Macaca fascicularis: one gene and its partners. The protein of the gene in region 1 binds, or shares a complex with, the protein of each later gene. Links are inferred from orthologs where the notes say so. Each region holds a gene or a part of one and is shown on either strand. Other genes may lie near its edges. The genes, in order: CREBBP, IRF3 and PPARA.

Region 1 (10,889 bases):
ACATTTTAGTTTAATTAGGTCGCTCTGGGTAAGTATTGGGGTTACTATAGGTGCACTGATGGTTGAATGTGAGAATATTACTGTTACACATAGTGGTTGGAATTTGAAAGAAAGGCTTTGTGATCGTGTTTTATGTATCAAAAAATGATGTGTTATAGTAGCAACACTGTAGGATGCTATTTTTAACATGACTCTAAAATTTGTGGAAGTTAGAAAGGAACTCAAAAATAAGAATAAATAGTATGATGTAGAACTTCTGCCATATGATAAATTTTCACACAACATTTGGGTTGTTGGGACGGATGAGTGGGCAGGCAAACAGGTGGGTAGGTAGGTGGGTAGATGAATTGACTTTGAAATGCCCAAGTTGATGCAAGTTGATGCAAGTTTGGAGTAGTCTCTCCATTACCTTGGAAGCCCTTTGGGATGGAGCTTCTTATGTTGACACCAGTTTTTCCTTTAGTCTCCTGGGGTTAGCTAGCTGAATGGGGCAGCTTCCCTGCCAGCCAGCAGTGGGCCTGGGTAGCAGAATCTGATGTTGGCCATGTGAGGCAGAGCCACCTCCTGAATATCAGAGGTGCTGAGGTGGCCCCGCATAACAAGACCCACGCGGAATTGCGAAGCCTCACTCCAACCTTAATTTCAAACAAATCAGTCAATCAGTCAAGTTCAGTATTTCTTAAACAGCTTCATATAACCAGAGAGCTCAGCATGGTGCTCTGCTGCATAGGAATCCCGTCAGAAGGATGTGTTCATGCTGTCATTGCTTGTGTAAGTTTCAAGGACTTGCAATTATGTGATTTAGAAGAGCACATCATAGATTTATTAATCAAAACTGACCAACGAGGTATCATCTCTGCTCCTTCTCTTAAGCCCTCTGTACCTGTGCAGGTGAGCAGTGAAGGACAGGGTTGGGGTTAACAGCAGGAGGGTGCTCCTCTGTTCATCTCAAGGTGTCTGCTGCCCACCAGAGAATCAGACGTTTCCCTTGTCATACATTTGCCACTCCCTGGAACTGACCTCTTGAGGAGTCTCTAGGTTTTAAAACATACTGATTTTTTTCAGGTGTTATCTGTGAAATTTTATGATCTGTTGCCTGCTAAGATAGAAACTTCACTTTTCTTTCACTTTTTGTTCCTCACTTACTGCTAGGCAGAATACATGAGTCCTTCAGCACAGTTCCTTTCTCCCTAGCCTTGTTTTACTGCTTTATGATATTCATGTGTAGTATTTTGATGAAATGTATTTGCTTCTCAGTAGTTTTTTAAATCATTTGTGGGCTTCTCCCTTTTACTTACCTTTCTCGTTTGTCTGTCTGTTTGTCGTTATAGCCATCCTGGGGTCTCCAGCTAGTGGAATTCAAAACACAATTGGTTCTGTTGGCACAGGGCAACAGAATGCCACTTCTTTAAGTAACCCAAATCCCATAGACCCCAGCTCCATGCAGCGAGCCTATGCTGCTCTCGGACTCCCCTACATGAACCAGCCCCAGACGCAGCTGCAGCCTCAGGTTCCTGGCCAGCAACCAGCACAGCCTCAAACCCACCAGCAGATGAGGACTCTCAACCCCCTGGGTAGGTGAAGAAACTCTCAACTTCATTCTTACTTGTCCAAATATAGCAAAGGGAATGGAGTGATGGAACCCAAGGCAGTTTTCAGTTTGTTTTGTGTTTTTTACTACAGTGGTTGAAATAAAAATCTCCCAGTAAAAAGCTGAAGTGTCTAATGCAAGGAAAATGTTATATGCTTATAAAAAGAGCAGCATTTGCAAATGAAGCAATGTTTTTGTTGCTTGCTGTGCCACTTCTCTCTGGACAGTTTTCATAAAGAATGTGCCATGTGGCTCAGAATGCAGATCTCACAAGTCAGGATGCTGACTGGACCCCTCGTGCTGACTGTTGTCATTTATTTGATGGAGAACTTGCGTTTGCCACTTCCTCACACATCTTGGTTAGGGTCTACCCCACAGTTGGAAGTGACCAGCCTGGACTTCGGCAGGTTAATGACAGGAGCCCTGGAAACTCTTTTCCCAGGCTGCTGGACATGTCAGCATTTCTTTTGTCACCCCAGCCCATTATTTGCCCACCTTTGGTCATTTGCTCACACATACCCATGATTTTTGCCATTTCTGCATATGGTTTCCTTAATATTTTTCTTTAAGTGGACACAGTCCCTTTACATCTAGGCTTAAGCTAAGCAGTGATGTCTGTGAAGTCCAGACTGGCTGGCTGGCTGTGCTAGTTTTGTTCTTTTCCTAATAAAGTATTTTACGGTTAACAATTATTCCTTAAAATATGCCCAGCTAAAGTCATCTTATTTGTTGCTTTTTGGAAAACAACTGCCCCAGTGAATGTCTAACTAATAGTGGCCAGGAGACTGGGTTAGAGTCCTGAGACCCAAGTCTTAATCTAACTCCTCTCCTGTTGATGGTATAATTTAGGACAAACTTAACCTTTATTAATCTCGGCCTTCCTTTACTTTAATATGAAGATTGTAGACAAATTGACCTCTGTATTTTTTTCCTGAGCTTAATTTCTATGATTTTATTTTCTGATATTGGGGGTAGAGACACAGAGGTATATGTCAGTGCAGCTGAGTCACTCAGAAGTGATACTAATGAAGCAGAATGAAAGTCAGAGGCTGCATATGGATCATTTATAACTTTTTCACTTAGATACCAGCTAATCTCCATAAACACACCTTACTTTGGTTACCAAGTAGAGTGGGGAGGTGTCTACTGATTATTTGTGCACGTTGATTACCATTATTGAAAATATGACACTCGGGGTTCCTGCCTCAGTGCTTATTATAACTGACCAGAATCACTTATTTAAATAATCACCAATTGTTTATGTGATGACATGTTGGTTATCTGTCATCAAAACTTTGAAGTATATATTAAAATTTAAGAGTTGATTGATTTCTTTCTGTCTTTAAAGGAAATAATCCAATGAACATTCCAGCAGGAGGAATAACAACAGATCAGCAGCCCCCAAACTTGATTTCAGAATCAGCTCTTCCGACTTCCTTGGGGGCCACAAAGTAAGACCCTGTTTCAGTTCTGAGTGACAGTCCAACAAGAACGTGGACTGAGAACCACACAAAACTGATTCTTTCTAAATGTGTGGCAGAGAAAATAGTTTAAATGGGGTGGTGAGGGGTGAATGCTGTTTTCCTTTTTTTCTTTAATTGTAAGTGTAGAGCAGATAATAGATTAAACATAGTTTAAGTTTTATTTATATACATTACTTGGCTCTCCTGACTTAAACTTTTAGAAGTCACATGTGGTGGTAGAAGAACCTTATTAGACAAAGTATGTTTGAGTCGCTTCAGTAGATGGATGAAGTGTCCTTATTTCCTCCATAGCCCACTGATGAACGATGGCTCCAACTCTGGTAACATTGGAACCCTCAGCACTATACCAACAGCAGCTCCTCCTTCCAGCACTGGTGTAAGGAAAGGCTGGCACGAACATGTCACTCAGGACCTGCGGAGCCATCTAGTGCATAAACTGTACGTAACAGTTTTACAGTTTCATAGATGATTTTGTTCCTGTGTTGCCCATTGACTACCGGATGACAGTACCCTAGGATCCTATACAAGTCACGTGCTTATTTAGGGAGCCACTCTCACTGCTGGTAGAACTCTGGCAGCCCTAGGCAGGCCAGAGATTCCCGCACTTCATGTCCTCGGTGAGCGGGGGTGACAAAGAGAGCATTGGTGGCTCTATACTGCCGAGGGGCACTGACTTACAGCCCCTGTCACGGAGGCAAAGACCCTCAGTGCAGCCTGGCCTTAATGCTGCATGAGGCGGCTGGGGTTAGCTCAAGAACCTCACCTTATTTTGTAGTTCCAGATTCTAGTTGTGGAGACTCCTCAGAATTGGATGAGTTTATAGATGGCATGTCATTATCACCTTACAGTTAGTTAACATAACAAAGTTAAGTTAACTTTTTGGTTTTTTTGAAGACGGAGTCTCGCTCTGTACCCTAGACTGGAGTGCAGGGCGCAATCTTAGCTCACTGCAACCTCTGCCTCCCAGGTTCAAGCGATTCTCCTGCCTCAGCCTCCCGAGTAGCTGGGATTACAAGTGGGTGCTATCACCCCTAGCTAGTTTTTGTATTTTTAGTAGAGACAGGGTTTCACCATGTTGGCCAGGCTGGGCTCAAACTCCTGACCTCAAGTGATCTGCCCACCTTAGCCTCCCAAAGTGCTGGGATTATGAGCCACTGCGCCCGGCCTTTTTTTTTTTTTTTTTTTTTTTTCTTTCTTTCTTTCTTAGAGACAGAGTCTTGCCATGTTGTCCAGGCTGGTCTCAAACTCCTGGCCTCAAGTAATCCTCTTGCCTCGGCCTCCCAAAGTGCTGGGTGGCATGAGCCACCACACGAAGCCTAACTTTGTTGAGCTAGTTATTTTAAATGAACTAGACTTATATTCCCTGAGTTTTTTCCATTCCTTATTTTGATCAAATTTTTTTAGTAGTAAGTAGTTTAAAAATCAGGGATTTAAAAATCGTGTTATTCTGGAAATGACCCAGCACATACTTGTTAATAGCAAAATATTGATGTGTTTGATGTGTAGATAAGTTGGTAAGTCAGGATTGTCTCCAGGGAGTTACTTCATTCATATATTGATATGCTGGGCAAGAGAGGCTTGGCATTTCTCTCCACAGTGTATTGCCACCAGAGATACATGATCCTGATTTTGTAGTGCTCATTTGACAGCATTGGGAGTAGCTTCAGGCCAGGTGCAGCAGCCCCCACCTGTAATCCCAGTGCTTTGGGAGGCTGAGGCGGGAGGATTGCTTGAGCCCAGGAGTTCAGGCCAGCTGGGGCAACATAACAAAACTCCATCTGTACAGAAAATTTAAAAATTAACCAGGCATGGTAGTGTGCACCTGTACCTCCCTCCTTAATTGAGAGGCTGAGGTGGGAAGATCACTTGAGCCCAGGAGTTCAAGGTTGCAGTGAGCTATGATCATGCCACTGTACTCCAGGTTGGGTGACAGAGCGAGACCCCGTGTCTTTTTTTTTTTTTTTTTTTTTGAGACGGAGTCTCGCTCTATCTATTGCCCAGGCTGGAGTGCAATGGCACTCAGCTCACTGCAACATCTGCCTCCCGGGTTCAAGCAATTCTCTTGCCTCAGCCTCCCGAATAGCTGAGATTACAGGCACCCACCACGAGGCCCAGCTAATTTTTGTATTTTTAGTAGAGACAAGATTTCACCATGTTAGCCAGGCTGATCTCAAACTCCTGACCTCAGGTGATTCTCCTGCCTCAGCCTCCCAAAGGGCTGGGATTACAAGCATGAGCCAGCGTGCCTGGCCAAAACCCCATGTCTTTAAAAAAAGAAGAAAGGAAAAAAAAGTAGTTTGATGTGTTATCCTTTCAGCGTCCAAGCCATCTTCCCAACACCTGATCCCGCAGCTCTAAAGGATCGCCGCATGGAAAACCTGGTAGCCTATGCTAAGAAAGTGGAAGGGGACATGTACGAGTCTGCCAACAGCAGGGTAGGTTGCTGCTTATCGTGCTCTGGCCTCTACAGCATCTGTAGTAGACAGCACTGCATTTGTCTGCTTTGTTATCTAGAAATTGTGGAATCTGTGTAGTTGGGAGAAACTCCTCACCTTGAGGCCACTGGCCAAAGAGACTTCCCAGATAAGACACAAATTTCCTGCAGAACTCTCTTGGTTAGTTACATTGGTACATGGAATATATAAATTTACATTATGTCCATGGGATATATTTTTCACAGTAGGTGGTGGGTGTAATATTGCTAGCATCAGTGAATATTCAAAAGTTCATTGGTATGAAGTGGGCCGTGTATTTAGTACCTATTATTTGATATGTCCTATAAAGCTCCTGGTGCATCAAGTATTTATTTGCATACTTACTTTTGCCAGTGTACTCAATGAAGAAGTTCATTAGTTGGAACCTACAACACAGATCATTCAGTTGCTTTTTACAGTTTTAACTGTTTCATATTGAATATTGTTGCTTTTTAGGATGAATATTATCACTTATTAGCAGAGAAAATCTACAAGATACAAAAAGAACTAGAAGAAAAACGGAGGTCGCGTTTACATAAACAAGGCATCTTGGGGAACCAGCCAGCCTTACCAGCCCCGGGGACTCAGCCCCCTGTGATTCCACAGGCACAACCTGTGAGACCTCCAAGTAAGCATTTTATTTCCTTCTGCCATCCCTTAGCCTGTTTCCTTGGTTTTCCTTCGTGTTTGGGGTGTATTTCTAAGAACAGAGAATTAGAATCTCTGATGCGTGCACTGCGGAAACTGTTGATGTGGCAGTGGCCCTGACCACCTGCCTCAGGCTGTGTTGGGACACTGAGTTTCTCTCTTGGGAAGGCCCTTTACAGGGTCCGCTGGCATTGGAACACACGTGCCTTTGGACCTATTGGCTGTTTTCCCTTTTAAGTTTGAAGTCCTAATAAGACATTTCCTATTCCTGAATCAAGGATTATATTAAATAACTAGGGTGGTTTTGTTTTTGTTTTTGTTTTGCCGCCATAGATGGACCTCTGTCCCTGCCAGTGAATCGCATGCAAGTTTCTCAAGGTATTGAACTATTTGCTGTGAATCATATTTTAGTTTAACATTCAACAGCCATAACTTTCACTGTTTTTTTCCTCTCCCCCTGTGTATTTCTTTCTAGTCCTTTCTTCTTTCCATTCCTTTTTGCTGATGAGCAGAATTGTTCTACAGGTAGTATGGATCTGTTTATAGTATGAAATTTGGAGATTATAGGAAAGATCTTTCAAGAAATAAGAAGCAGTTTTTAGCTATTTATTTTATTTTATTTTTATTTTTATTTTTTTGAGGTGGAGTCTCGCTCTGTGGCCCAGGCTGGAGTGCAGTGACGTGATCTTGGATCACTGCAAGCCCTGCCTCCTGGGTTCACACCATTCTCCTGCCTTAGCCTCCCCAGCAGCTGGGACTACAGGCACCGGCCACCATGCCCGGCTAATTTTTTGTATTTTTAATAGAGATGGGGTTTCACTGTGTTAGACAGGATGGTCTTGATCTCCTGACCTTGTGATCCACCTGCCTCAGCCTCCCAAAGTGCTGGGATTACAGGCATGAGAGCCCCTGCACCCAGCCTTAGCTTTTTTTAAATTTTATTTTATTTTATTTTATTTTACTTATTTGTTTTGAGACAGAGTCTCACTCTGTTGCCCAGGCTGGAGTGCAGTGGTGCAATCTCGGCTCACTGCAAGCTCTGCCTCCTGGGTTCACGCTATTTTCCTGCCTCAGCCTCCCAAGTAGCTACAACTATAGGTGCCCACTACCACGTCCGGCTAATTTTTTGTATTTTTAGTAGAGACGGGGTTTCACTGTGTTAGCCAGGATGGTCTCGATCTCCTGACCTTGTGATCTGCCTGCCTCAGCCTCCCAAAGTGCTGGGATTGCAGTTGTGAGCCACTGCGCCCAGCCCAGCTTTTTATTTTTTTAATGGATGGTGAAGGGGCATGGTACATTAGTCTTAGGAAGAGTCTGAGAAAGAAGCACTCTAGATGTGGGGAGGGAGTGCTTCTCAGTGCTGAGAAGGAGAGGCATGCAAGACACTCCTAGACTGCTGAGCACTTGCACAGGCTGACATGGGGACGGCACGGGCTGCTCCTGGCCCTAGGGGTTAAGCCCAGCTGGCTGGATGTCAACTTCTGGAGAGTGTGTACACACAGGTCCTGTGCCAGGTTGGGGTGGCAGCAGCTGTCTCAACAACCTTGAAAGTTTCTTAAGTAGAGAGCCTATGGTTTTTGGTTGATTGAAGCAGTGATTTTTATTTCGGGGCAGGGAGCATTTGAAAACCCTGTAGCTCTTGACTATTGAGACCCAAGCAGGAGGACATTTTTCCAGATTGTGAAACAAGGTGGTGACATTATCCAGAAGACTCTGAGGAAAGAGGCTTTATTGTGGTTTGCAGAGTAGTTTGGGAGGGAAGGTAGAAGAGATCATTTTAAAAGTTGTATTCGGGCCAGGCGTGGTGGCTCACGCCTGTAATCCCAGCACTTTAGGAGGCCGAAACAGGCAGATCACGAGGTCAGGAGATCGAGACCACCCTGGCTAACACAGTGAAACCCCGTCTGTACTAAAAATACAAAAAAAAATTAGCCAGGTGTGGTGGCGGGCGCCTGTAGTCCCAGCTACTTGGGAGGCTGAGGCAGGAGAATGGCGTGAACCTGGGGGGCGGAGCTTGCAGTGAGCTGAGATCGCGCCACTGCACTTCAGCCTGGGCAACAGAGCGAGACTCCGTCTCAAAAAAAAAAAAAAGTTGTATTCATATTGCATCCTGGAAAAGACATGATAAGCTGATATTATGGAAAAATACTTATCAGGGACTTGTTTTGATGGACTAGATTTGAGGGTTGAAAGAAATCAAGGAGTCAGGCTAGGCACAGTGGCTCACACCTGTAATCCCAGCACTTTGGGAGGTCGAAGCAGGAGGATCACTTGAGGTCAGGAGTTCGAGACCAGCCTGGCCAACATGGTGAAACCCCATCTCTATTAAAAATACAAAAATTAGCCGATCATGGTGGTGCACATCTGTAATCCCAGCTACTCAGAAGGCTGAGGCAGGACAGTCACTTGAACCCAGAAGGCAGAGGCTGCAGTGAGTTGAGATTGCACCACTGCACTCCAGCCGGAGCAACAAGAGCGAAACCCCATCTCAAAAAAAAAAAAAAGAGAGAAAGAAATCAAGGAGTCAGAGAAATTGAGCCTTAGGAAAGTGGCTGGATGCTGTGTTGGGGATTGGTCCAGGACTTGGGCCTAAATAGGAGGATGCTGCTGGTGTGGGGTATGATGAGCATGCTGTTTACCAGCAGAATATTGAAATAGATGTTTTCTGGTTATGCACTTAGCATCCTCCCTACCAGCACATCTGGGTAAATACAGATTTGTTTAAATGCTGTTCCTTAGTAATTGTTTTTCATTTTGTTTAAAAAAATTCTCAAGGAGAGGGGAAGGTTACATTACAGACTCCCTGGAAAGTCTTCCTGGTCTGCACTGGCACTCAGTTATTTGAAGGTACCATTTCTGGGTAGTCGTTGAAGGTAGTGCTCCGTGAGAGAGTCATCCTTCGAGCCTTCTCATGACTACAGCACCGCTAAGGCAACACCTTCCAGAAATTCTCTCAGATTTTAGTGTTGGTCCTAAGACTTATTTGAACTGGTGCTTCTTTAGACTCAGAGTTTACAGAGTATTGTTATAAATTGGAAGGAACTAGACACCACAGTCTGGAGACACTTACTGGCTGTGAAGTGTCTTTCAGTGATGCGTTGCTCCTGTAAACTACAGGAGGCTGGGGTTGAGGATGGCTGACCCTTGGGCACTTCTTAATGCTTAAAGTGCTTGCAAAATTAAAAGAATGTTTGGAGTCTTAGCACAGATTCTAACAATGAATGTAAACCCAGCAGAGAGCTGGGAAGCCTCAGTTATGGGCGCCAGCTGCTCCAGAGGCATTAGGTATGGGTGTGCACAGAAGCTTGCCCTGGTCTCTGGAAACATCTCTTCTGTAGATTGTGGGGGTGCTGTCCTTTCAGGGCACCTCCTCACCCTCTTTGTTACTATGATACTTTGTTCGGTATTCTGTCCTCTGGCTCAGCTCTACCTCAGCCTCATTTAATGTCTCACTTACTTGTTCCTGTGTTACCCAACCTTATGCCTTCATGTCCTTGTCCTTCCCTCGAACCCCTCACCGTGCCACCCTCACCACCCCCACATTGATGCCATTTTCTCTGGATGTGGAGAAGTCTGTTCCTTCATCATCTTCATTGATTAATTGAGTGATTGCTTTTCAGTCTTCTGTTGCCTGTGTGTTCCATCTTATTTTACTTAGAGTTTATTTAGCAAGTTGTAATTCTGTTTTCCTGTGGGTGCTTTTCCTAATGAACCATTGTGGGTACATTTACAGGGATGAATTCGTTTAACCCCATGTCCTTGGGGAACGTCCAGTTGCCACAAGCACCCATGGGACCTCGTGCAGCCTCCCCAATGAACCACTCTGTCCAGATGAACAGCATGGGCTCAGTGCCAGGGGTAAGTGTTCTCTTTAGCTGTGCTGCAGATAGCCCTCCTCTCACATGGAACATTAAGCAGCAGAATTCATGTCACTTGGGAATCCCGTGGTTCTTTCTTTGAATTTGGGTTTTGCTTTATTTCTTTCATCTCTCCTTTAAAAATTATCTTCATTACTACACAGAATTATTTGACTGTTAGTTATTTTATTGGAATAACAAATTCATAGGAATGTGTGACTTTGTGAGAATGTGGCAGTTCCAAGGCTGGAGAAGGCAGCCTCAGATATGTGGCCAGCAGGGAATTGTCAGCATCTATTGACTGAGAGCTCGCTCTTCCGAGGCTGCTTTCTAAACACTTTAGAGAACTCATAGGCAGGCATGTGTTAAATTTTAAATTATAGTCTGCTATTGATTTCTATTCAGAGGACATTTTGAAGCTGGCTCATTTGAGAGATTGCCTGAGAAAGTGTGTAAAGTGCCCAGGAGCCTGGGAGTTCTTAGCAAGTGGGGATCTCTTCCCATGAGGAAGGGCAGGATGTGAGCCCTGTGCTTGGCATCCTCTGGGGTTGTGAGGCCTTGGATCATTCTGGCTCACCTTGAAAACTCTGGCTGTCAGCTTTGGAACTACAGTTCTGGTGGTGCTTGTTGTCTTGTAGATGGCCATTTCTCCTTCCCGAATGCCTCAGCCTCCAAACATGATGGGTGCACACAGCAACAACATGATGGCCCAGGCTCCTGCTCAGAGCCAGTTTCTGCCACAGAACCAGTTCCCGCCATCCAGCGGGGCGATGAGTGTGGGCATGGGGCAGCCGCCAGCCCAAACAGGCGTGTCACAGGTACTGTGCCCCACTGG
Region 2 (9,655 bases), on another chromosome or scaffold:
TGAGGTCAGGAGTTTGACACCAGCCTGGCCAACATGGTGAAAATACAAAATCATTGGTGAAAATACAAAATTATCTACTAAAAATACAAAACTTAGCCAGGTGCGGTGGTGCCCGCCTGTAATGCCAGCTACTCAGGAGGCTGAGACAGGAGAATTGCTTGAACCAGGGAGGCGGAAGTTGCAGTGAGCTGAGATTGCGCCATTGCATTCCAGCCTGGGTGACAAGAGTGAAACTCCATCTCAAAAAGAAAAAAAGGCTTTTAAAAACTCGAGGTGGGGGATGGAGGTAGATAGGACGGGGGGATTTGGGGATGGAACTTGCAGACTTAGAACTTGCCAGGGAAAGAGGGTGGTGTTAGGATCCAGGAGACAGGGTTAGGGCCCCAGGAGCAGGATCTAAGTCGTCCTCCCCCACTATCCTGACACCACTGTTGCCCCAGGCCTGGGCCGAGGCCACTGGTGCGTACGTTCCCGGGAGGGATAAGCCAGACCTGCCAACCTGGAAGAGGAATTTCCGTTCTGCCCTCAACCGCAAAGATGGGTTGTGTTTAGCAGAGGACCGGAGCAAGGACCCTCACGACCCACATAAGATCTACGAGTTTGTGAACTCAGGTCTGCCAGATCGGGGTTCATGTGGGAGGCTGGGGTCCCAAGGGTTCCTGGCACCCCTACTCCCCTCACCACCTTTCTCAACAGGAGTTGGGGACTTTTCCCAGCCAGACTCCTCTCCGGACACCAATGGCGGAGGCAGTACTTCTGATACCCAGGTGAGAATGTGCCCAACCTTCATGCCCCTCAGTCTCTGTCGTGTCCCCATGGGCCTTGTCCTCTCCCTGTGGACCATCCCCCCGCTTCCCTGCCTCCAGCCTGCCCCTTACCTGAGCCAGTGGTGGCCCCGTCTGTTCCTGCTCCAGTCTCCTCAGGAGAAAATTCCGAGTTTTCACCCTGCATTCAAGGCCCTAGCACACCTTCCCAGGATTTCATGGACTTCGGCAGGGGGCTGTCAGCCTCTTGGGAACTGAAAACTCCCTCACCTTGATCCTGCTGAGGCCTGAGCTGGGGGAGCATCCCCTCTGAAATTCTACCCAGCCTGCCCCGCCCAGGTCTTACCTGCATAGAGCCAGATCCTTGGGTTGGAATGGTAGCACCTGGCGTTCATTAGAGTGTTTGGCTGTTGATGCCATGGCTGGCTCTGTCCCCATGCTGGAAGCCCCTTGAAGGCAGAGCTCAAGCCTCACCTCCCTGCATTGCTGAGAACAGACCTGGTCCATAGGAAGTCTCCAGAAAAGACTATGGAAATGCCTGATTCTCTTTCTTTGTTTCCCTCCAGGAAAACATTCTGGATGAGTTACTGGGTAACATGGTGTTGGCCCCACTGCCAGATCCAGGACCCCCAAGCCTGGCTGTAGCCCCTCAGCCCTTGCGGAGCCCCAGCTTGGACAGTCCCACTCCCTTCCCAAACCTGGAGCCCTCTGAGAACCCACTGAAGCGGCTGTTGGTGCCGGGGGAAGGTGAGTGTCAGCTGCAGGCTGGGAGGGCTGAGGTCTGGGCGGCAGCCCCTGATTCTCAATCTCTCTCCCCTTCACACGGCTGCTGCCACTGCTCAGAGTGGGAGTTCGAGGTGACAGCCTTCTACCGGGGCCGCCAAGTCTTCCAGCAGACCATCTCCTGCCCGGAGGGCCTGCGGCTGGTGGGGTCCGAAGTGGGAGACAGGACGCTGCCTGGATGGCCAATCACACTGCCAGACCCTGGCATGTCCCTGACAGACAGGGGAGTGATGAGCTACGTGAGGCACGTGCTGAGCTCCCTGGGTGGGGGACTGGCTCTGCGGCGGGCCGGGCAGCGGCTCTGGGCCCAGCGGCTGGGGCACTGCCACACATACTGGGCAGTGAGCGAGGAGCTGCTCAACAGCGGGCATGGGCCTGATGGCGAGGTCCCCAAGGACAAGGAAGGAGGCGTGTTCGACCTGGGGCCCTTCATTGTAGGTGAGTGAGATGGGGGCTTCGCCCTGCCCAGTAGAAAGCAGACTGCACAGTGGTTAAGAACTCAGGATTGGCCGGGCACGGTGGCTCACGCCTGTAGTCCCAGCACTTTGGGAGGCCGAGGCGGGCAGATGACGTGGTCTGGAGTTTGAGACCAGCCTGGCCAACATAGTGAAACCCCATCTCTACTAAAGATACAAACAAATAGTCGGGCATGGTGGCACACGCCTGTAATCCCAGCTACCCGGGAGGCTGAGGCAGGAGAATCACTTGAACCAGGGAGGGAGAGATTAAAGTGAGCCGAGATCGCACCACTACACTCTAGCCTGGTGACAGAGCCAGACTCTGTCTCAAACAACAACAACAAAAACTCAGGATTAGGACTGAATTCAGACCCTGGCTGCCCTTGGCCCACTGTATAACCCGAGGCAAAGGACTTTGCCCTGAGCCCGTGGAATCCGAGGACGGTCTCCTCTCTCTACCTGCCTGCCAGCACTGGGGTGAGACACAGGCCCAGTACACAGCATGCTCGGGGAATTAGCTGCCGCTGTCATCATTATCGTAACTAATGATGGTGGACAGACCAATAGCAGGAAAGCTATGTCCCTTAGGGTTTCGCTGTGCGGTGGCACTTTCTGCCATGATGGAAATGACAGTCACCTGCACTGTCCAGTGCAGCAGCCACTAGCCACAAGGGCCGAGCACTTGGGTGAGGCGAGTGCCACCAGGACACGATTCGTTTTTTTTGTTTGTTTGTTTTTTTTTTTTGAGACGGAGTCTCGCTGTGTCTCCCAGGCTGGAGTGCAGTGGTGTGATCTCAGCTCACTGCAAGCTCCGCCTCCCGGGTTCACGCCATTCTCCCGCCTCAGCCTCCCAAGTAGCTGAGACTACAGGCGCCCGCCACCACGCCCGGCTAGTTTTTTGTATTTTTAGTAGAGACGGGGTTTCACCGTGTTAGCCAGGATAGTCTTGATCTCCTGACCTCGTGATCCGCCCGTCTCAGCCTCCCAAAATGCTGGGATTACAGGCTTGAGCCACCGCGCCCGGCCTACGATTCGTTTTAATTGATTACAATTTAAACTGAAATGACCTCACATGACTAATGGCTGCAGTTGGACAGTGCGGCCTCAGAGGGGACTGAATGCCAACCAGCTTCTCCTCCAGATTCACTGGCATCCTTGGAAGCCTGGGCCCCCTACTCTGGGCCTGTTGTGAATGCTGAGGCTTGGGGGCTTGCGGGGGTGGGGGGCCTTCCAACAACCCCACCATGATGGGAGGGAGAGAGGGAAGGAGGAGGAAGTATACAAACAGAATCATGGGGACTTTCCCCAAACAAGCAGTCCTCTGGGCGAGGCAGCAGAGGGCCTTAGGTCAGGGGAAATGGTGGGGATTGCCATTCAAGTTTACGGGGAAGGGCGGGTAGAGGGTCCTCTTCTCATCACTGACTAGACTCCTGGGCCCCCAGATCTGATCACCTTCACAGAAGGAAGTGGACGCTCACCACGCTATGCCCTCTGGTTCTGTGTGGGGGAGTCATGGCCCCAGGACCAGCCATGGACCAAGAGGCTCGTGATGGTCAAGGTGCCTGCAGACCTGAGTCCCTGGGGCTGAGAGGGGTGGCCTTACAGAGGGAAGAGGTTGCTCCCAGGAACTCCAACTCCCAGAGGGCCCTCTAAAAAACTGCAACTTCCAAGATCTCTGCAATAACCAGTTTTTCATCCCCGGGAGCTCCTTCCCACGGCCTCACCTGCAGAACCTGCTTTGAACTCTCCAAACCAGTGGTCCCCAAGCTGTTCGGCACCAGGGACCAGTCTCACGAAAGATAATTTTTCCACAGACAGGGAGGGGGTGGTTTGGGGATGAAACTGCTCCACTGCAGATCATCAGGCATTAGATTCTCCTAAGGAGCAGCCTAGATCCCTCGCGTGTGCAGTTCACGATTAGTTCGTGCTCCTCTGAGAATCTAATGCTGCCGCTGATCTGACAGCAGGCAGAGCTCAGGCAGTAATATTCCCTCACCCGCTGCTCACATCCTGCTGGGCAACCTGATTCCTAACAGGCCGTGGGGGGTTGGGGACCTCTGCTCTAAACCATGTCGAAGCTGGTGGACTTCAAGTTTTAGCTGCCATTGTGAGGCCATGGCTGTGGCTCCCACGAGTTGAGATCACAGACTGCTCAGCCCTGACATCTGGGAATACTCTAGCCTCATATGCGTGTGTGTGTGTGTGTGTGTGTGTGTGTGTGTGTAGAGGGAAATCTACAACTCCCAGCAGCCCTGGGCCTATGGTTCATCCTGGGTTATAGCAGAGGCTGCAGGAAGGTGTGTGTGTTTGTGTGTGTGTGTTTCATCCTGGGTTACAGCAGAGGCTGCAGGAAGTTGTAGAGTGTGTGTGTGTGTGTGTGTGTGTGTGTGTGTGTGTGTGTGTGTGTTTCATCCTGGGTTACAGCGGGGGCTGCAGGGAGTTGTAGTTCTCCCAGCCCTGTGTGTGTGTGTATTTCATCCTGGGTTACAGCGGGGGCTGCAGGGACTTGTAGTTCTCCCAGCCGTGTGTGTGTGTGTGTGTGTGTGTTTCATCCTGGGTTACAGCGGGGGCTGCAGGGAGTTGTGTGTGTGTGTGTGTGATCCTGGGTTACAGCGGGGGCTGCAGGGAGTTGTAGTTCTCCCAGCCCTGTGTGTGTGTGTGTGTGTGTGTGTGTGTGTGTGTGTGTGTGTGTGTGTGTGTGTGTTTCATCCTGGGTTACAGCAGGGGCTGCAGGGACTTGTAGTTCTCCCAGCCGTGTGTGTGTGTGTGTGTGTGTGTGTGTGTGTGTGTGTGTGTGTGTTTCATCCTGGGTTACAGCAGGGGCTGCAGGGACTTGTAGTTCTCCCAGCCGTGTGTGTGTGTGTGTGTGTGTGTGTGTGTTTCATCCTGGGTTACAGCGGGGGCTGCAGGGACTTGTAGTTCTCCCAGCCCTGACTCCTACCTTGGTGGACACTGGCCGGGTGTTTTCCATGACTCCTGTCCCCACTTCCCCCGCAGGTTGTGCCCACGTGCCTCAGGGCCTTGGTAGAAATCGCCCGGGTAGGGGGTGCCTCCTCCCTGGAGAACACTGTGGACCTGCACATTTCCAACAGCCACCCACTGTCCCTCACCTCTGACCAGTACAAGGCCTACCTGCAGGACCTGGTGGAGGATATGGATTTCCAGGGTCCTGGGGAGACCTGAGCCCTCGCTCCTCATGGTGTGGCCTCTAACCTCCCCACCCCCCACCACCTCAACCAATAAACTGGTTCCTGCTATGATCACCTCTTGTGTGTGTCTGGTGTTGGGTGTCCTCTGACCCAAGCTGGTTGTTATTCCTGCTCAGGGTCTCAGTTTACCCATCTGTGCAGCTATGCACAACTCAGGTGCTCAATGCATGAGGACCAAGCACTGCAGGGGGCAGCTGACATTTCCTCACCTCTGCCCAGGGACCTGGTGGCTGATGGCTGCCCCCATTTTGTAGACCAAGACACAGGCTGGGAGAGGCACAAAGGTCACAGAGTAGGAAACACAAAGACTGGCCAGAACCCAGGTCCCTGCCTTGCCTATGAACAGTGTGGGCAAACGGCCCTTCTCCTTCCAGGCTCAGGCTCCCTCTACATGGGGCTGGAGGGGGCCTTGGTAAAAAGGCTCTGCGGCCACCCTAGAGCCTGCAAAGCCTGCCTGTCTGGTGACCCTGGGCACTGTCACCTCTCCTGGCTAGGCCTCAGTTCTGGGTGATGAAACTGGCAGAAGCCAGCGCAGCCCTGACTCACCCTTCGGCCCTTGCTGCTCTGTGCCTCAGTTTCCCTCTCGGGAGAGTGGATGAGATCACCCCAGCTTCACGGGGCTGCTGAAAAGAAAAGCCAACTCAATGGGGAACGCAGATCCTGCTCTGGGAGCAATTCCAAGGCAGGCACATGGCACGCAGGTGCCCTGAGCTGGGAGGATGCTGATCAGGTGGGGGCTGGCCCCGCCTCCCTGTGAGCAGCTGGCTCCCTGCCAGAGACTGTGCTAAGTGCTCCACCGGTGTCTTGTTCAATCCTCACAACACCACTATACAGATGAGAAAACTGAGGCTCAGGGGAGGCAGCTGCCCCAAGTCACAGTCTGGCTCCCTTTTCTCCCACCCTCAGCCTCCTAGGGGCCCCTCCTCAACCCTCTGGCAAATTTGTCTCTGAAAACAAAGGGTTAGAACCATGGGGCTCAGGGGTAATGTTTCATGAAATCTTTAATGAAATTGGGGAGAGGGGCACGAACAGAAGGGAGGGGCACTGGGGACAGGCTTGGGGGCAAGGGGGGTGGGCACGGGGCAGGGAAGGGCAGGGGGCTCTCCTCTTCCCTGCAGCAACCCTCCCCCAATCATCCCACTGATGGGGGAGGGAGGTGGGGAGGTGGAGCCATAAATATGTCCAGAATTTCAAAGAGGCGAGGGGCGAAGAGCTGGCCAGGGCTCTCAGAGAGGGGGCAGGGGCAGGCCCGGGCCACCCTTGTCCGGGGGCCCTGGCTCCTTGGGCGGCCGTGGGGGCCCTGGGGGGTCCCCTGGCTTGCGACCGTGCTTGCGGAAGTAGCGGTAGCGCTGGACGTAGGCCCGCACCAGGTTGCTCACCTTCACCGGGTTGATCTCCCCACTTTTGCTGTGGCAGATCTGGGGGGCCGGGGACAGCCGGAGTCACCACTAGGCTCCCGGAGTCCCATCCACCCGGGACTGCTGGGTGCAGCTTGGGACTGGGGTAGGAGCAGCTTCCCCAATAACCAGGCCAAAGTTCCTCTGTCCCCCTAGATGATGGGTGCCCCAGGGCCAGCGGAACAAGCCCAGGTGGCCTTGAGAAAATCCCATCACCCTCCCAGACTGACCTCCCCGTCTCCCATCCGCGTCCATCTGTCTGTACACATCTGGCCCTCCAGTTCGTCCTCTCCCCGGCCTGTGTCTGCCCCTCTCTCTGGGTGCCCACCTTGTGGACGGCCTTCCTCAGGATGTCCTTGTACTCCTCCTTGGTGATGTCCTTCTTCTGATAGTATGGCTTGATGGCCAGCTTCACCTCCTCCACCGCCCGCTCCTGTGTGTGCAGCTTCTTCAGATACTGGTGGGGTGGCGACAGCGGGGGAAGAGACAGCAAGGGCCAGTGAGTACCTGCAGAACCTCCACCTCCACTCGCCTCTGCTGCCAGCCTAGCCTCTCGGACAGTCTGGCTGCTCTCAGGCTGGAAGTCCTGCTGAGGGTCTGTCCCATGCACCCTCTGCTGCAGGTGCCTGGGACCAAAGGCCAGGCCTGTGCTCTGCATGTCACTGAACATCTCCTCTAGGCTGAACCCTGGGCTGCTCCAGGCCTGGCCAGGACCAGGAGACATGCGTTGCCTGCCCTCACAAAGTTCGGTCTGATGAGAAGACAGGCATTGGCCAAGCAATTGCAGCTGGTTTTGAATCAGACTCTACAGACAGGGCTGTAGAAAGCTGCACAGGGCTTTTCACCGTGGAAAGGGGGAGGACTCAGTTTAAAAGGTTTTTACAATACTGCTCTGGTCACCAAGGGGATGGAGGCGCACTGAGGAGTGGGGGTGGGGACTGACCTCAAGCCCATTGTATCGGAAGCCTGGTCTGCCACTCCCTGTCTCTGACCCCTGGGATGCTCAGCCAAACCTCCTTTTTGTGGCTTTTTCTTTGTTTTTGAGATAGGGTCTCTCCCTGTCACACAGGCTGTAGTGCAGTGACACAGTCACTGCTCACTGTACCCCTGGACTCCTGGGCTGAAGCAATCTTCCCACCTCAGCCTCCTGAGTAGCTGGGACTAGAGGTGCCACCACCACGCCCGACTAATTCTTGTACTTTTTCTGGCGACGGTCTTACTATGTTGCCCAAGCGGATCTTGAACTCCTGGGCTACAGCGATCCACCCGCCTCGGCCTTGCAAAGTGTTGGAATTACAGGCACGAGCCACCGCGCCTGGCCACCTTTGTGGCTTATTTATAAAATGCGGACAGCACCTATGGGGAGGACTACAGTGACACACATGAAGGACATGGCACAGGCCAGGTACAGAGCAAAGACTCAATCCAGGGGAGCTGTGCCTGTTCCAAGGGGGATGGCCGTGGGACGAAAAGGGAAGGACAGAACAGTGGGCAGGGCAAAGAGCCTCCGAGACAAGGCTCTTCCCGCCTGTGGCCAACAAGCGAGGAGATCCCCCAGCCACAGGCTCGGGGCAGCAGTTGCATCCCTGGCCTCAGGCGGAATCTTTGCAAAAGCAGACAGGAAACCTCTAGCCAGAGAGCCACATGGGACCAGAGAAGAACCGACCTTCTGCAGGCACAAGGGATAGTCCCTTGCCACCGCCCTTGGGGAAACTGCCCTCCCAAGTCAGGTGACTATCAAAGTAGGGGCAGGTAAACCTGAGTCCTGGAAATGGCAGGGCACAATGGCTAGCAGACTCCGGAAGCAACATCAGTGACACTGTCTGACGAGCTACTGAGCTGTTAGGGCAACTCTATGGCCAGGAGAGACACAGGCCGCCCTGGAGGGACTTCTCAGGCTTGCCTGGCCCCACAGGATGTGGGTCTCTAGAGAGACGCTGCTCCCAAACACCCATCTCGGATGTGGTAAAGCAAGGCAAAGGGCCGCTGTAGACCAGGGGGTCCTCACCGTCCGCGACCTGTAGCACAAGGCACAAGCTACAGACAAGTGATGGGCTAAGCTGCAGCCCCGCCTCCGCGGCTCACACGGGATGTTTAATGGGGTTTATACAGCTTTATCTGGCACTGTACACAGCTGTGTAAAGTGGCCAACACCACCGTCTGGCTATGGGCTGCTGGACTGTAAAAAAACATATATAGGCTGGGCTCAGTGGCTCACACCTGTAATCCCAGCACTTTAGGAGGCTGAGGTGGGAGAATCACATGAGCTCAGGAGTTCGAGACCAGCCTGGGTAACACAGCGAGACCCCCAACTCTACAAAAAAATTAAGAAATTAGCTGGGCATGGTGGCGCGCACCTGTAGTCCTAGCTACACAGGATGTTGAGGTAGGAGGATCCCTTGAGCCCGAGAGATCAAGGCTGAGGCTGTGGCTGTGCCACTGCATGCCAGCCTGGGTGACAGAGTGAGACCCTGTCTCAAAACAAACCAACCAAGGCCGGGAGCAGTGGCTCACGCCTGTAATCCCAGCACTTTGGGAGGCCGAGGTGGGCAGATCATCTGAGGTCAGGAGTCAAGACCAGCCTGGCCAACATGGTGAAACCCCATCTCTACTAAAAATACAAATATTAGCCGGGTGTGGTGGTGTGTGCCTGTCATCCCAGCTACTCGGGAGGCTGAGGCAGGAGAATCGCTCAAACCCGGGAGGCGGAGGCTGCAGTGAGCCGAGATGGCACCACTGCACTCCAGACTGGGTGACAGAGCGAGACCCCATCTCAAAGAAAAAACAGAAACAAAAAACCCACATCTAGACCTGACCAAGACAGAAACAGCCCCAGAGCCCAGGAGTAAGAGCCGGCCAGAGCAGCTGAGTAAGAACCTACATTACTGTCTGCCTGGCACCCATTCTCCCTCCCTTCAACTAGAAACAAGTTCTTGAGTTTTTATTCAGAAACCAGCCTCCCCCACTCACACTGAGAGGGAGACAGCGTGAAAAACAGATCATCAAGGGGTGGGCTGCAGTGTGGGGCTGTCTGTTACAGGGTG
Region 3 (10,889 bases), on another chromosome or scaffold:
TCCCAGCTACTCAGGAGGCTGAGGCAGAAGAATGGTGTGAACTGGAAAGGCAGAGCTTGCAGTGAGCCAAGATCGTGCCACTGCACTCCAGCCTGGGCGACAGAGTGAGACCCCGTCTCAAAAAAAAAAAAATTAGCCGGGTGTGGTGGCACGCGCCAGTAGTCCCAGCTACTCAGGAGGCTGAGGCAGCAGAATCACTTGTACCCATGAAATGGCAACAGAATCACTTGAACCCGAGTGAGCCGAGATCATGCCACTGCACTCCAGCCTGGCAACAGAACGAGACTCCATCTCAAAAGCAAAAAAAGAGAGAAATAGATATTGAACACCTGCTACATAGCAGGGATTGTGCTAGAAGTATGGATGCAAAGATTAGGCAAATACATTCCCTTGCCTCACAAAGCGTACAGTCTAGTAGGAGAGACAGGCATGTAAAAAGTTTCAACAGCACAGATAATCAGGACTACACCAGAATTGGGCCCAAGATGCTGTGGGAATCTAGAGGTGAAAGGGTTTCATGAAAGAGGAGCTTCTTCTCCCATTTATAACTCATTTTAGCCTAATCTTCCAAACAGTCATGCATCTAAGAGCTGGTGATACAGAAAATACCTTGGTGTTAGTTATGAGTTACTGTTAGAATCCTTCCAGTGTTTGCACCTGTCCTGTGCTCAGGTAACATAAAACAGTGATATAATTTGATGTCTACTTCTTCTTGTATTTGTCTATTTTTAAATGTTCTACAATTTTCATATACTCTGTTTCATAGTTCTCAAAGGAATATTTTGATTGATAAATGTTTAGTTAGTAAGACCTAAAAATAGAATCTCAGTAGTTGGAGCTTATGATATATACAAGATGCAGCTCTAACATTTAAATTGGAAGGGAAATATCCAAAAGATATCTGCCCTCCTATGTTTGTTGCAACACTGTTTACAATAGCTAAGATTTGGAAGCAACCTAAGTGTCCATCACCAGACAAATAGATAAAGAAAATGTGATATATATACACAATGTGGTACTATTCAGCCGTAAAAACGAGTGAGATCCTGTCATTTACAACAATATGGGTGGAACTGGAGATCATTATGTTCAGTGAAATAAGCCAGGCACAGAAAGACAAACTTCACATGTTCTCACTTATTTGTGGGCTCTAAAAATCAAATCGGTCCAGGGGCTGGAAAGGGTGGTGAGGGGTTAGGGGGCAGTGAAGATGGTATGAAAAATAGGTAATAGGTATGAAAAACTAGAAAGAATGAATAAGACCCACTAGGTTTTTGTTGTTGTTGTTGTTGTTTTGAGAGAGAGTCTCACTCTGTCGCCCAGGTTGGAGCACAGTGGCATGATCTCGGTTCACTGCAACCTCCGCCTCCTGGGTTCAAGTGATTCTCCTGCCTCAGCCTCTCGAATAGCTGGGATTATAGGCACGCGCCACCATACCCGGCTAATGTTTGTATTTTTAGTAGAGACCGGGTTTCACCATGTTGACCAGACTGGTCTCGAACTCCTGACCTCAAGTGATCCACCTGCCTTGGCCTCCCAAAGTGTTCAGATTACAGGCATGAGCCACTGTGCCTGGCCACTATTTGATAGCATAATAAGGTGACTATAGTCAATAATAACTTAATTGTATATTTTTAAATAAAAAGTGTAATTGGATTGTTTGTAACTGAAAGGATCAATGCCTGAGGGCACGGCTACCCCATTCCCCATGACGTGCTTAGTTCACATTACATGCCTATACTAAAACATCTCATGTACCCCATACATATATACACCTAGTATGTACCACAAATATTTTAAATAGTTTTTAAAATAAAAAATAAATTGTAAGGGAAAGAAAATTATGAATTTAGAAATGTAAAAGGTCTCAGGTAAGGAAGGCATGAGAGGATCAGGCAGAACCTTCCATCATTGCTGGGACGAGAAGAGAAGCCCTACCTTTTCCCAACACCCTATCCACTCCACCTGTCCCTCACCCCTCAGCTTATGTGAGACTCTATCTGTGCTATGAAACTGAAGATCTAATTCAGTGCTGTTTGCATTGTCTTGCCTCCTGGACCAGGGTTTGCAGTTGTTGAGAAAAGAGATGGTTGGTTATGTCTTGATCCCCCGCCCCCGCCTCCCCTTGAGCATTTGGGGCACAGGACACAGGAACCGGCCAGCCTGGTTCACTCTTGTAGATGAGCTGGGCAGTGGCCTGTCATGTGGGTAATAGGAAGGGGTGGGGACTTCCCCGGGATATTCTGCTCCTGATCAGAAGCTCCAGTGGTGTCGGAGGAGCATGCTGGGAGGGTGTGCAGGGTGGGGCAGGTGCCCGTTTGGCCTCTGCTATCTATCTGGGGAGTTTGGCCTCTGCTATCTATCTGGGGAATGCATCCAAACGCAACTGTTCCTTATCTGCTCTTGTTGGGAGCAAGGAAGGGCCAATTTGTTCAATGATCTGTACAAAGCCAGTCCCTCTGGCCAGAGTTGCTTCACTCTATATAGAGATTGTACCTTGGTTAGCTCTTCATTCATGGCAAGACCAGTGTTTCTCTAAATTAATCCCAGGTATTGTTTAAAAGCAACTAAAAATGACGAAATTGTGAAACTTTGAAACTCCCTGAATGTAATGACAAGGAAACTAACATTGTTATATTGGTTGATGCTCCTGGCCAGAAGAGAGAATATTAGCAGGGATAAAAGGGATAGGCCACACGCATTTTCCACCCCAGTGCTGAGAACACGATGGGGGAAAAAGGGAGGTGGCCACAGCCCACACAGTCTCTGCCAAGCTACTTTCTTTTTTTTTTTTTTTGAGACAGAGTCTTGCTCTGTCACCCAGGCTGGAGTGCAAAAGTGTGATCTCAGCTCATTGCAACCTCCACCTCCCAGGTTCAAGCGATTCTCCTGCCTCAGCCTCCAGAGTAGCTGGGATTACAGGCACCTGCCACCAAGCGCAGCTAATTTGTTTGTATTTTTAGTAGAGATGGGGTTTCACCATGTTGGCCAGGCTGGTTTCAAACTCCTGACCTTAAGTGATCTGCCCACCTCAGCCTTCCAAAGTGCTGGGATTACAGGCATGAGCCACCATGCCCAGCCCCAGCTACTTTCTTTCTATTGGAATGAACTTCATGGTTAATAGTCAGTTAGTGACTGCAACTTTTGAACTTTTTGTTCATAGTGAAAAACATTTTAAGTAATGCTTACCCCATTATGTTTCTTGCCATTTGAAAAAAAAATCTCCCTTCAGACAGAATGCAGAATAAAATACGACAGAAAATCTGTACAGATTCACAACCTGATTTAAGTTAATAGGTTATAGAGAAAGAAAGTCTTCTAAACCCTATGAAAGGTTAACAGTTCTCTGTTATTTTTCCCTGTGTGCTATTTGATGATTTCCCTGTGAACTCTGATGATTTATTGCCAGAATTCCAAACATAAGATGTGAATTTCACAAAAATGGATGAAAGGTATCTATTTTTCATTGGTAGAGGAAGCCAAAGCATCCCTTCTTCACCGCACTAAAAGCTGTTGTTTACATTAAGCAAACCTCAGATGTGAACGTATTTTTACGCAAATGCATTTAATGGATTAATATTGTCTTTGGGACAGTATTCTTCACTCCATCTGGAGAGTCTGGCGTTCCGTAATCACCATGTGATGACGGCTGCCCTGACAGTGGCTGGTGGCAGCACATGCCCCCTGAGCCTCTCCGTGATGTGATCTGTGGGCATCATGTGACCATTTTCAGAAGGGAAGATAGTTCTGGAAGCTAAAGGTCACCTAGTCAGCCTCGTTGGGCGATTGATGACTCAGCTGGGTTCAGGGAGGTGGACCCAAGGCAGAGCCTCTACAAGGCAGTGGTGGGCAGGGCGGTTCAGGCAGGTGGCACCTGGGCAAAGGTGCAGACGTGAAATCCTGAAAGCAATTCTCGGTGCTGCTGGGTTTCCAGGAGGTAGAAGAATGGTGACAAGTGCACCATCAGGTAGGGACAGATATGGAAGGGCTGGAACAGTGTGCTCAGGAGACTGAGCTTCAATCTGGAGGTCCCAGGAAGTGGTTTAAGATGTTTCAGCGAGAGCATGATACAGACCAACCTGGGAAGAACCGCTGCTTTGTCACTGTACCCCTATGGAAATGCTGTTCGCTTTGCTAGTTGAAACAGCCCACTATTGTCTGAGACTCACCCAGTTAGATTTATTTGGACTCCACAAAGTATTCTTGACCATACCATCACAATCGAGGACCCCCTGCATGAGCTGCCTTCATGGCTACAGGGAGAGCACACCCAAGTGGATGTCACACCCAGCACACATGCCACCGGCTTGGCCCTGCTCCCTGCGCCCCATGGGCAGCCTGAGCCACACTGGCTGCCTGTTGTTCCTGGAGTGTGCCAGCATGTTTCAATCCTGGCTGGAGCCTTTGCACTTGGTGTTCTCTTTGCTGGAACATTCTCCCCCAAGACATTTACACAGCTTGCCCCCTCATTCCCTGAGGTTATCTCCTGCCCCCTAATCAGTGTGAACTTCCCTGGCCTCACCCCGGACACTCCACATGTGCATTCATTTCTTTGTTCACCGTCTGTGTCCCAGTTACAAGGGAGGCTCCCTGAGAGCAGGGATCTGGTTTTTGTTTGTTGTTGTTGTCGTCGTCGTTTTGAGGTGGAGTCTCACTCTGTCGCCCAGGCTGGAGTGCAGTGGTGCAATCTCAGCTCACCGCAACCTCCACCTCCCATGTTCAAGGGATTCTCCTGCCTCAGCCTCCTGAGTAGCTGGAATTACAGGCACCCGCCACCAAGTCGGGCTAATTTTTGTATTTTTAGTAGAGATGGGGTTTCTTTTTTTTTTTTTTTTTTTGAGACGGAGTCTCGCTCTGTCGCCCAGGCTGGAGTGCAGTGGCCGGATCTCAGCTCACTGCAAGCTCCGCCTCCGGGTTCGGGCCATTCTCCTGTCTCAGCCTCCTGAGTAGCTGGGACTACAGGCGCCCGCCACCTCGCCCGGCTAGTTTTTTTTGTATTTTTTAGTAGAGACGGGGTTTCACCGTGTTAGCCAGGATGGTCTCGATCTCCTGACCTAGTGATCCGCCCGTGTCGGCCTCCCAAAGTGCTGGGATTACAGGCTTGAGCCACCGTGCCTGGCGAGATGGGGTTTCATTGTGTTGGTCAGGCTGCTCTCCAACTCCTGACCTCGTGATCCGCCTGCCTCGGCCTCCCAAAGTGCTGGGATTACAGGCATGAGCCACCGCACCCGGCCCTGTTTTTTTTTTTTTTTTTTTTTTTTTTTTGTTTATTGGTTTGTTTGTTTTTGAGACACAGTCTCACTCTGTTGTCCAGGCTAGAGTGTGATGGCACGATCTTGGCTCACTGCAACCTCCACCTCCCAGGTTCAAGCGATTCTCCTGCCTCAGCCTCCTGAGTAGCTGGAATTACAGGCGCCTGCCACCACACCTAGCTAATTTTTGTATTTTTAGTAGAGACGGGCTTTCGCCATGTTGGCCAGGCTGGTCTCAAACTCCTGACCTCAAGTGATCCACCCGCCTTGGCCTTCCAAAGTGCTGGGATTACAGGCGCGAGCCACTGTGCCCAGCCCAGGGATCTGTGTCTCCGCTGTGTCCCCAGCACCTCAAACACATTGTATGGAGCTCCGCACAGCTGCTGAGTCAGTGATGGCTGAGTGAGTCCTGGCCCTCGGTCTGCGGCTCCTACAACATTTTGTTTAAAGGTTTTCACTTTCACAGCGTGCTGATCAATAGCCAAGCCCAGAGGAGAGGCTCAGCACTGTTCCTGTTTAGATGATGAATTCAGGCGTATCTTCGATGATAAATGATGTTGCATTTCAAAACAAGCAAGTGGCCAGGCGCAGTGGCTCACACCTCTAATCAAAGCACTTTAGAAGGCCAAGGCAGGCGGATCACCTGACGTCAGAAGTTCGAGACCAGCCTGGCCAATGTGGTGAAAGCCCATCTCTACTAATAATACAAAAAAATTAGCCAGGCGTGCTGGCGGGCTCCTGTAGTCCCAGCCACTCAGGAGGCTGAGGCAGGAGAATGGCATGAACCCAGGAGGTGGAGCTTGCAGTGAGCCAAGATTGCACCACTGCACTCCAGCCTGGGCGACAGAGCGAGACTCCGCCAAACAATCAATCAATCAATCAATCAATCAATCAAACAAACAAGTGAATGTTGTTATACGTCAACCTTATCAATTGTTCCTCTTTCCTCCCGGTAGCTTGGAGCTCGGCTGCGCAACCAACACCATCCAGTCACGATGGTGGACACAGAAAGCCCGCTCTGCCCCCTCTCCCCACTCGAGGCTGGCGATCTAGAGAGCCCGTTATCTGAAGAATTCCTGCAAGAAATGGGAAACATCCAAGAGATTTCGCAATCCATCGGCGAGGATAGTTCTGGAAGCTTCGGTTTTACAGAATACCAGTATTTAGGAAGCTGTCCTGGCTCAGATGGCTCGGTCATCACGGGTAAGTGTGCTGTTTCCTAGAAAGTTTTATTTAGAAATGTTTCTTCCTAAAGAAAGCTGTTCTTTTTAGCTGGAAAATAAGTCACACTTTTTTGCAAGGAAACCTTCAGAGGTGGTAAGGCATCACCTCCAGTGCCACTGGGCCTTGGAAGGCACGTGTCACGGCTCACGGTGCAACCTCTTGTGAAAACCATGCATGCATCAAACAATGCTTGAGATTCAGTCACGGGGAGCAGCTAAAGTACACAGACCCTAACCCCAGCAAGCCCACGGGGGACAGCTAGACATTTTTAAGAGGAGACGTGTGCAAGGGTCTGCATGGAGGCACTGTTGGTAAGAGGGAAGGATGGGAAACAAGCTGGACGTGCGTCAAAGGGAAACAGATAAATTGGGATGCGTTTATACAGTGGCATACTTCATAGCAATTTAAAAGAACAGACTACGCCAGGCGTGGTGGCTCACGCCTATAATCCCAGCACTTTGGAAGGCTGAGGCAGGTGGATCACTTGAGGTCAGGAGTTCGAGACCAGCCTAACCAACATGGTGAGGCCCCATCTATACAAAAACATTTTTTAATAAAAAAAAAATTAGCCAGGCATGGTGGCGCATGCCTGTGGTCCTAGCTACTCAGGATGCTGAGGCAGGAGGACCATTTGAGCCCAGGAGCTCGAGGCTGCCATGAGCTATGATTGCCACTACACTCCAGCCTGGGTGACAGTGAGACCCTGTCTTTAAAACAAACAAACAAAAAAATTAAGAAACATCAAATGAAAATAAACAAGCTTAATGATATATTTAAGATCCAATTAATGTAAAATCTTTTATTTACTTTTTTTATTTTTTGAGACAGAGTTTTGCTCTTGTTGCCCAGGCTGGAGTGCAGTGGTATGATCTCAGCCCACCCGCAACCTCCATCTCCCGGGTTCAAGCAGTTCTTCTGCCTCAGCCTCCCTAGTAGCTGGGATTACAGGTGTCTGTCACCACACCTGGCTAATTTTTGTATTTTTAGTAGAGATGGGGTTTCACCATGTTGGCCAGGCTGGTCTCAAACTCCTGACCTCAGGTGGTCCGCCCGCCTCAGCCTCCCAAAGTGCAGGAATTACAGGCCTGAGCCACCGCATCTGGCCCACGTAAAATCTTTAACACTAAACAATCTAGTACATCACTGTTGGAAACAGACATACATATATTGCAAGCTTTAAGGACTCAGTCGCCTCCTGAACGAGACGGAGGGAGAATTGGGGAGGGCTCCCTTGGGGACTCCAATTCTCTCTAGGTTGTATATTTGATAAACCTGGGTGGTGTGTACATGGGTATTACAGTCATGTTGCTTAATGACAGGGACAGGTTGTGAGAAATGCATCCTTAGCGATTTCATCATTGTGTGAAAGTCATAGAGTACACTTAAACAAACCCAGATGGAACAGCCTGCTGCACACCGAGGCTCTGCAGTGCAGCCTGTTGTTCCCAGGCCACACAACTGTACAGCGTGTTACTGTACTGAATAGCATAGGCCCCTGTGACACAGTGGTAAGTATTTGTGTGTCTACACATACCAAAACATATAATAGAAAAGGTTACAGCAAAAATACAGTATTATCATCTTATGGGACCATGATACCACAGTTGAACTTACGGTCTGTTGTTGACCAAATGTCACTGTGTAGTGCGTGACTATACAGAAATAAGCTCAAAGAAATTAAGTAACTTGGCTGGGCGTGGTGGCTCATGCCTGTAATCCCAGCACTTTGGGAGACTGAGGCGGGCAGATCACCTGAGGTCAGGAGTTCAAAACCGGTCTAACCAACATGGCGAAACACCGTCTCTACTAAAGAATACAAAAAATTACCCAGGTGTGGTGGCGGGCACCTGTAATCCCAGCTACTCTTCTCAGGAGGCTGAGGCAGGAGAATCGTTTGAACCCAGGTGGCAGAGGTTGCAGTGAGCGGAGATCATACCACTGCATTCTAGCTTTGGCCACAGAGTGAGACTCCGTCTTAAAAAAAAACAAAAAAGTCCAGGTGTGGTGGCTCACACCTGTAATCCCAGCACTTTGGGAGGCCGAGGCAGGCAGATCACTTGAGGTCAGGAGTTAAAGACCAGTCTGGCCAACACGGTGAAACCCCATCTCTACTGAAAATATAAAAATTAGCCAGGCGTGGTGGTGTACACCTGTAATGCCTGGGCAACAGAGCAAGACGCCGTCTCAAAAAAAAAAAAAACAAAAAAACAAGGCAAATTGAGTAACTTGCCACTGTTCATACAGCCAGAAAGACACAGCGCCCGGGCCTGGACCCTGCCTCTCAGCTGGCTCTAGAGGGCTGTTCTCTGCATGCTGGCGTGATCGTGCCTTGTAAAAGGTGGCAGTGTTCTCAGCTTAGTCAATCAGGAATTGCAAGAGGCTAGTGAGCCCTTGAGGACTCTGGGGGGCCTTTGTGAGTGAGCAGCTTTGGGAGTGACCCTGGCAGATCTTTACAGATGGTGCAAGTTTTGACTCCCTTTCTTCTGGCGCATTAAGCAGAGGATAAGCACTGTGGAGAGAGTGAAGGTTTAGGGAGATGATGGCCCCCAGAGCAGTGCAGGAGGGGACAGGGAGGCTGGAGGAGAGCAAGGAAAAGGCTCCGCATCAGGTGGCGCCTTGAGTGGCCTGGGTAGGTTGCTTGCAGCAAACCCAGGTTAATGGCTTTGACAATGACCGCCATTGCTTCCTGAGCACTGCAGGCTGCCCACACACCTCTCACCTCGGCTTGCCTAAGCCCAAGAGCAGCCTTGTGAGGTCATTGCTATGTTTATTTAAGGAAGGAGGAAAGCAGGCAGGCCCCAGGACATCCTGACTGGCCGGAGATCACCAGCCCAGAACCCAGCCCTTAACCCCACAATGTGCGACCTTTCTTCACCCATCACAGACACACCCCATGCTGGTTCACTGTTCACTGACTATTTGTGCTATTTATCAGAAAAACTTTTTCTTTATGGGTTTGAAAAGATTTATTTTGCTTTTGTTTGTTTTTCTTTTTTGCCTTTCTTTTTTAAGGAAGGCAGGCTCCCCCAGCCCCACCCCCAGGGTGAAAAATATAGTTCATTGTCTAGTAAAAGAGTTCAAAGATACGCTTTTTTCTCTGGATAAAATATACTCTAGAGCTTGTTCTGAAATATGGAATTAGTGTGAGCTGCGGGAGTGGGTGGGTGTGTGGCTCTAGCTCTGGAAAGTTCTTTCCCGGCAGTGGCTAGGAGGGCTGCCCAGCCCCCTCTCGCCTCCCCCAGCAGCTTAAACACAGGACCCCTTATTCTGTGCTCTCTTCTGACCCCTGGTCCTCATGCAGGAGGGAACCCTGTTCTTCTAATTAGATGCAGGGATCCTTTTTCTAAGAGTAGCGTATTTTAGGTCATTGTTAAGAGTTATAATCTAAAACGTATTTTTAACTCATCTGAAAGTTCTGACAGAGGTAAGGCTTGAGAATTTCCTGCATACTAGCCTTGTGGTCTGTATAATCCATTAAAAGCCACATTTAGCCCAATTCCACAGACTGAACTGTGCTTCCTACCTAAATAAAGAGCAGGTGGGGCACGGTGGTCACTCCTGTAATCCCAGCACTTTGGGAGGTCAAGGCGGGTGGATCACCTGAGGTCAGGAGTTTAGACCAACCTGGCCAACATGGTGAAACCTCATCTCTACTAAAAATGCAAAAAAATTACCTGGGCATGGAGGCATGTACCTCTTAAGCTTAAGGACATATTTCTTATGATCCAATTAATATAAAATATTTTATTTTATTTTATTTTTTTATATTTTGAGACAGAGTTTCACTCTTGTTGCCCAGGCTGGAGTGCAGTGGTGCAATCTCGGTCTGTCATCCCAACTACTCTGGAGGCTGAGGCAGCAGAGTCACTTGAACCCGGGAGGCGGAGATTGCAGTGAGCCAAGATCACACCACTGCACTCCAGCCTGGGCAACAGAGTGAGACTCCGTTTTTAAATAAATAAATAAATAACAAGGGTTCAGGGGAGGAGAGAGAGGGTTCCAAATTTGTTTTGAACCAATTCCAAGGAACTTTATGGCAAAAAGAAAAAAAAGGAGAACTTATAAAAAGTGACCACACTGAATTGTCCTGGACACACATCCCTGGTTTTGACCACTAGCCTTTGAAGTAGCGAGTGGGGTGATAACCCGTTTTTATTTCCCTCCCAGCATTTCCTCGCTCTTATTCATACATGTGGTCATTTGTACTCATCTCACAATCCTTAAAACCTCTTTGCTTCTTTCCGGGTTTTACTGTACTGTTACTGCGAAGTCTGAGAGATGAGGTTATTTAAGATTATTTCTTATTTGTAAATTAGATCTTTCATCTTTGTATCTAATCTGCTCTTTTGGGTAATATTCCTAGTTAGGTAGACTGGTCTTTCAGAAGGGCTGAATATTAAATGCACTTACTTT

What was found.
Region 2: the proteins of CREBBP (region 1) and IRF3 are in contact, whole or in part, in a crystal structure (PDB 5JEM), measured with the Homo sapiens proteins. The link is inferred for Macaca fascicularis from reciprocal best matches to the Homo sapiens genes CREBBP and IRF3. Residues at the interface, in NP_004371.2 of Homo sapiens: Leu2070, Thr2073, Leu2074, Lys2075, Ser2076, Ser2079, Gln2081, Gln2082, Gln2084, Gln2085, Val2086, Asn2088, Ile2089, Leu2090, Asn2093, Gln2095, Leu2096, Ala2099, Phe2100, Gln2103; in NP_001562.1 of Homo sapiens: Pro198, Gly199, Glu200, Glu201, Trp202, Glu203, Ser221, Leu322, Ile326, Leu329, Ile330, Thr333, Thr370, Cys371, Leu372, Ala374, Leu375, Glu377, Met378, Ala379, Val381, Gly382, Gly383, Ala384.
Region 3: the proteins of CREBBP (region 1) and PPARA are in contact, whole or in part, in a crystal structure (PDB 9IWL), measured with the Homo sapiens proteins. The link is inferred for Macaca fascicularis from reciprocal best matches to the Homo sapiens genes CREBBP and PPARA. Residues at the interface, in NP_004371.2 of Homo sapiens: Asp62, Ala63, Ala64, Lys66, His67, Lys68, Gln69, Leu70, Ser71, Leu73, Leu74, Arg75; in NP_001001928.1 of Homo sapiens: Val284, Thr285, Thr288, Glu289, Lys292, Phe297, Leu302, Asn303, Gln305, Val306, Thr307, Leu309, Lys310, His457, Pro458, Leu459, Glu462, Ile463.

What each region holds. Positions count from the first base shown.
Region 1 is NC_088394.1:4,555,362-4,566,250, reverse strand, and holds part of CREBBP (CREB-binding protein), read left to right. Parts: intron 1-1,331; coding exon 1,332-1,574; intron 1,575-2,939; coding exon 2,940-3,042; intron 3,043-3,366; coding exon 3,367-3,513; intron 3,514-5,392; coding exon 5,393-5,510; intron 5,511-6,005; coding exon 6,006-6,177; intron 6,178-6,530; coding exon 6,531-6,575; intron 6,576-9,930; coding exon 9,931-10,055; intron 10,056-10,692; coding exon 10,693-10,872; intron 10,873-10,889. UniProt on the Homo sapiens protein: Acetylates histones, giving a specific tag for transcriptional activation. Mediates acetylation of histone H3 at 'Lys-18' and 'Lys-27' (H3K18ac and H3K27ac, respectively).
Region 2 is NC_088393.1:57,628,089-57,637,743, reverse strand, and holds the end of IRF3 (interferon regulatory factor 3), read left to right. Parts: intron 1-440; coding exon 441-612; intron 613-696; coding exon 697-767; intron 768-1,330; coding exon 1,331-1,511; intron 1,512-1,607; coding exon 1,608-1,985; intron 1,986-3,447; coding exon 3,448-3,563; intron 3,564-5,002; coding exon 5,003-5,188; 3' UTR 5,189-5,268; downstream 5,269-9,655. Other genes in the region: SCAF1 (splicing factor, arginine/serine-rich 19), read right to left, coding at 6,441-6,632, 6,940-7,068.
Region 3 is NC_088384.1:5,388,403-5,399,291, reverse strand, and holds part of PPARA (peroxisome proliferator-activated receptor alpha), read left to right. Parts: intron 1-6,208; coding exon 6,209-6,455; intron 6,456-10,889. UniProt on the Homo sapiens protein: Ligand-activated transcription factor. Key regulator of lipid metabolism. Activated by the endogenous ligand 1-palmitoyl-2-oleoyl-sn-glycerol-3-phosphocholine (16:0/18:1-GPC). Activated by oleylethanolamide, a naturally occurring lipid that regulates satiety.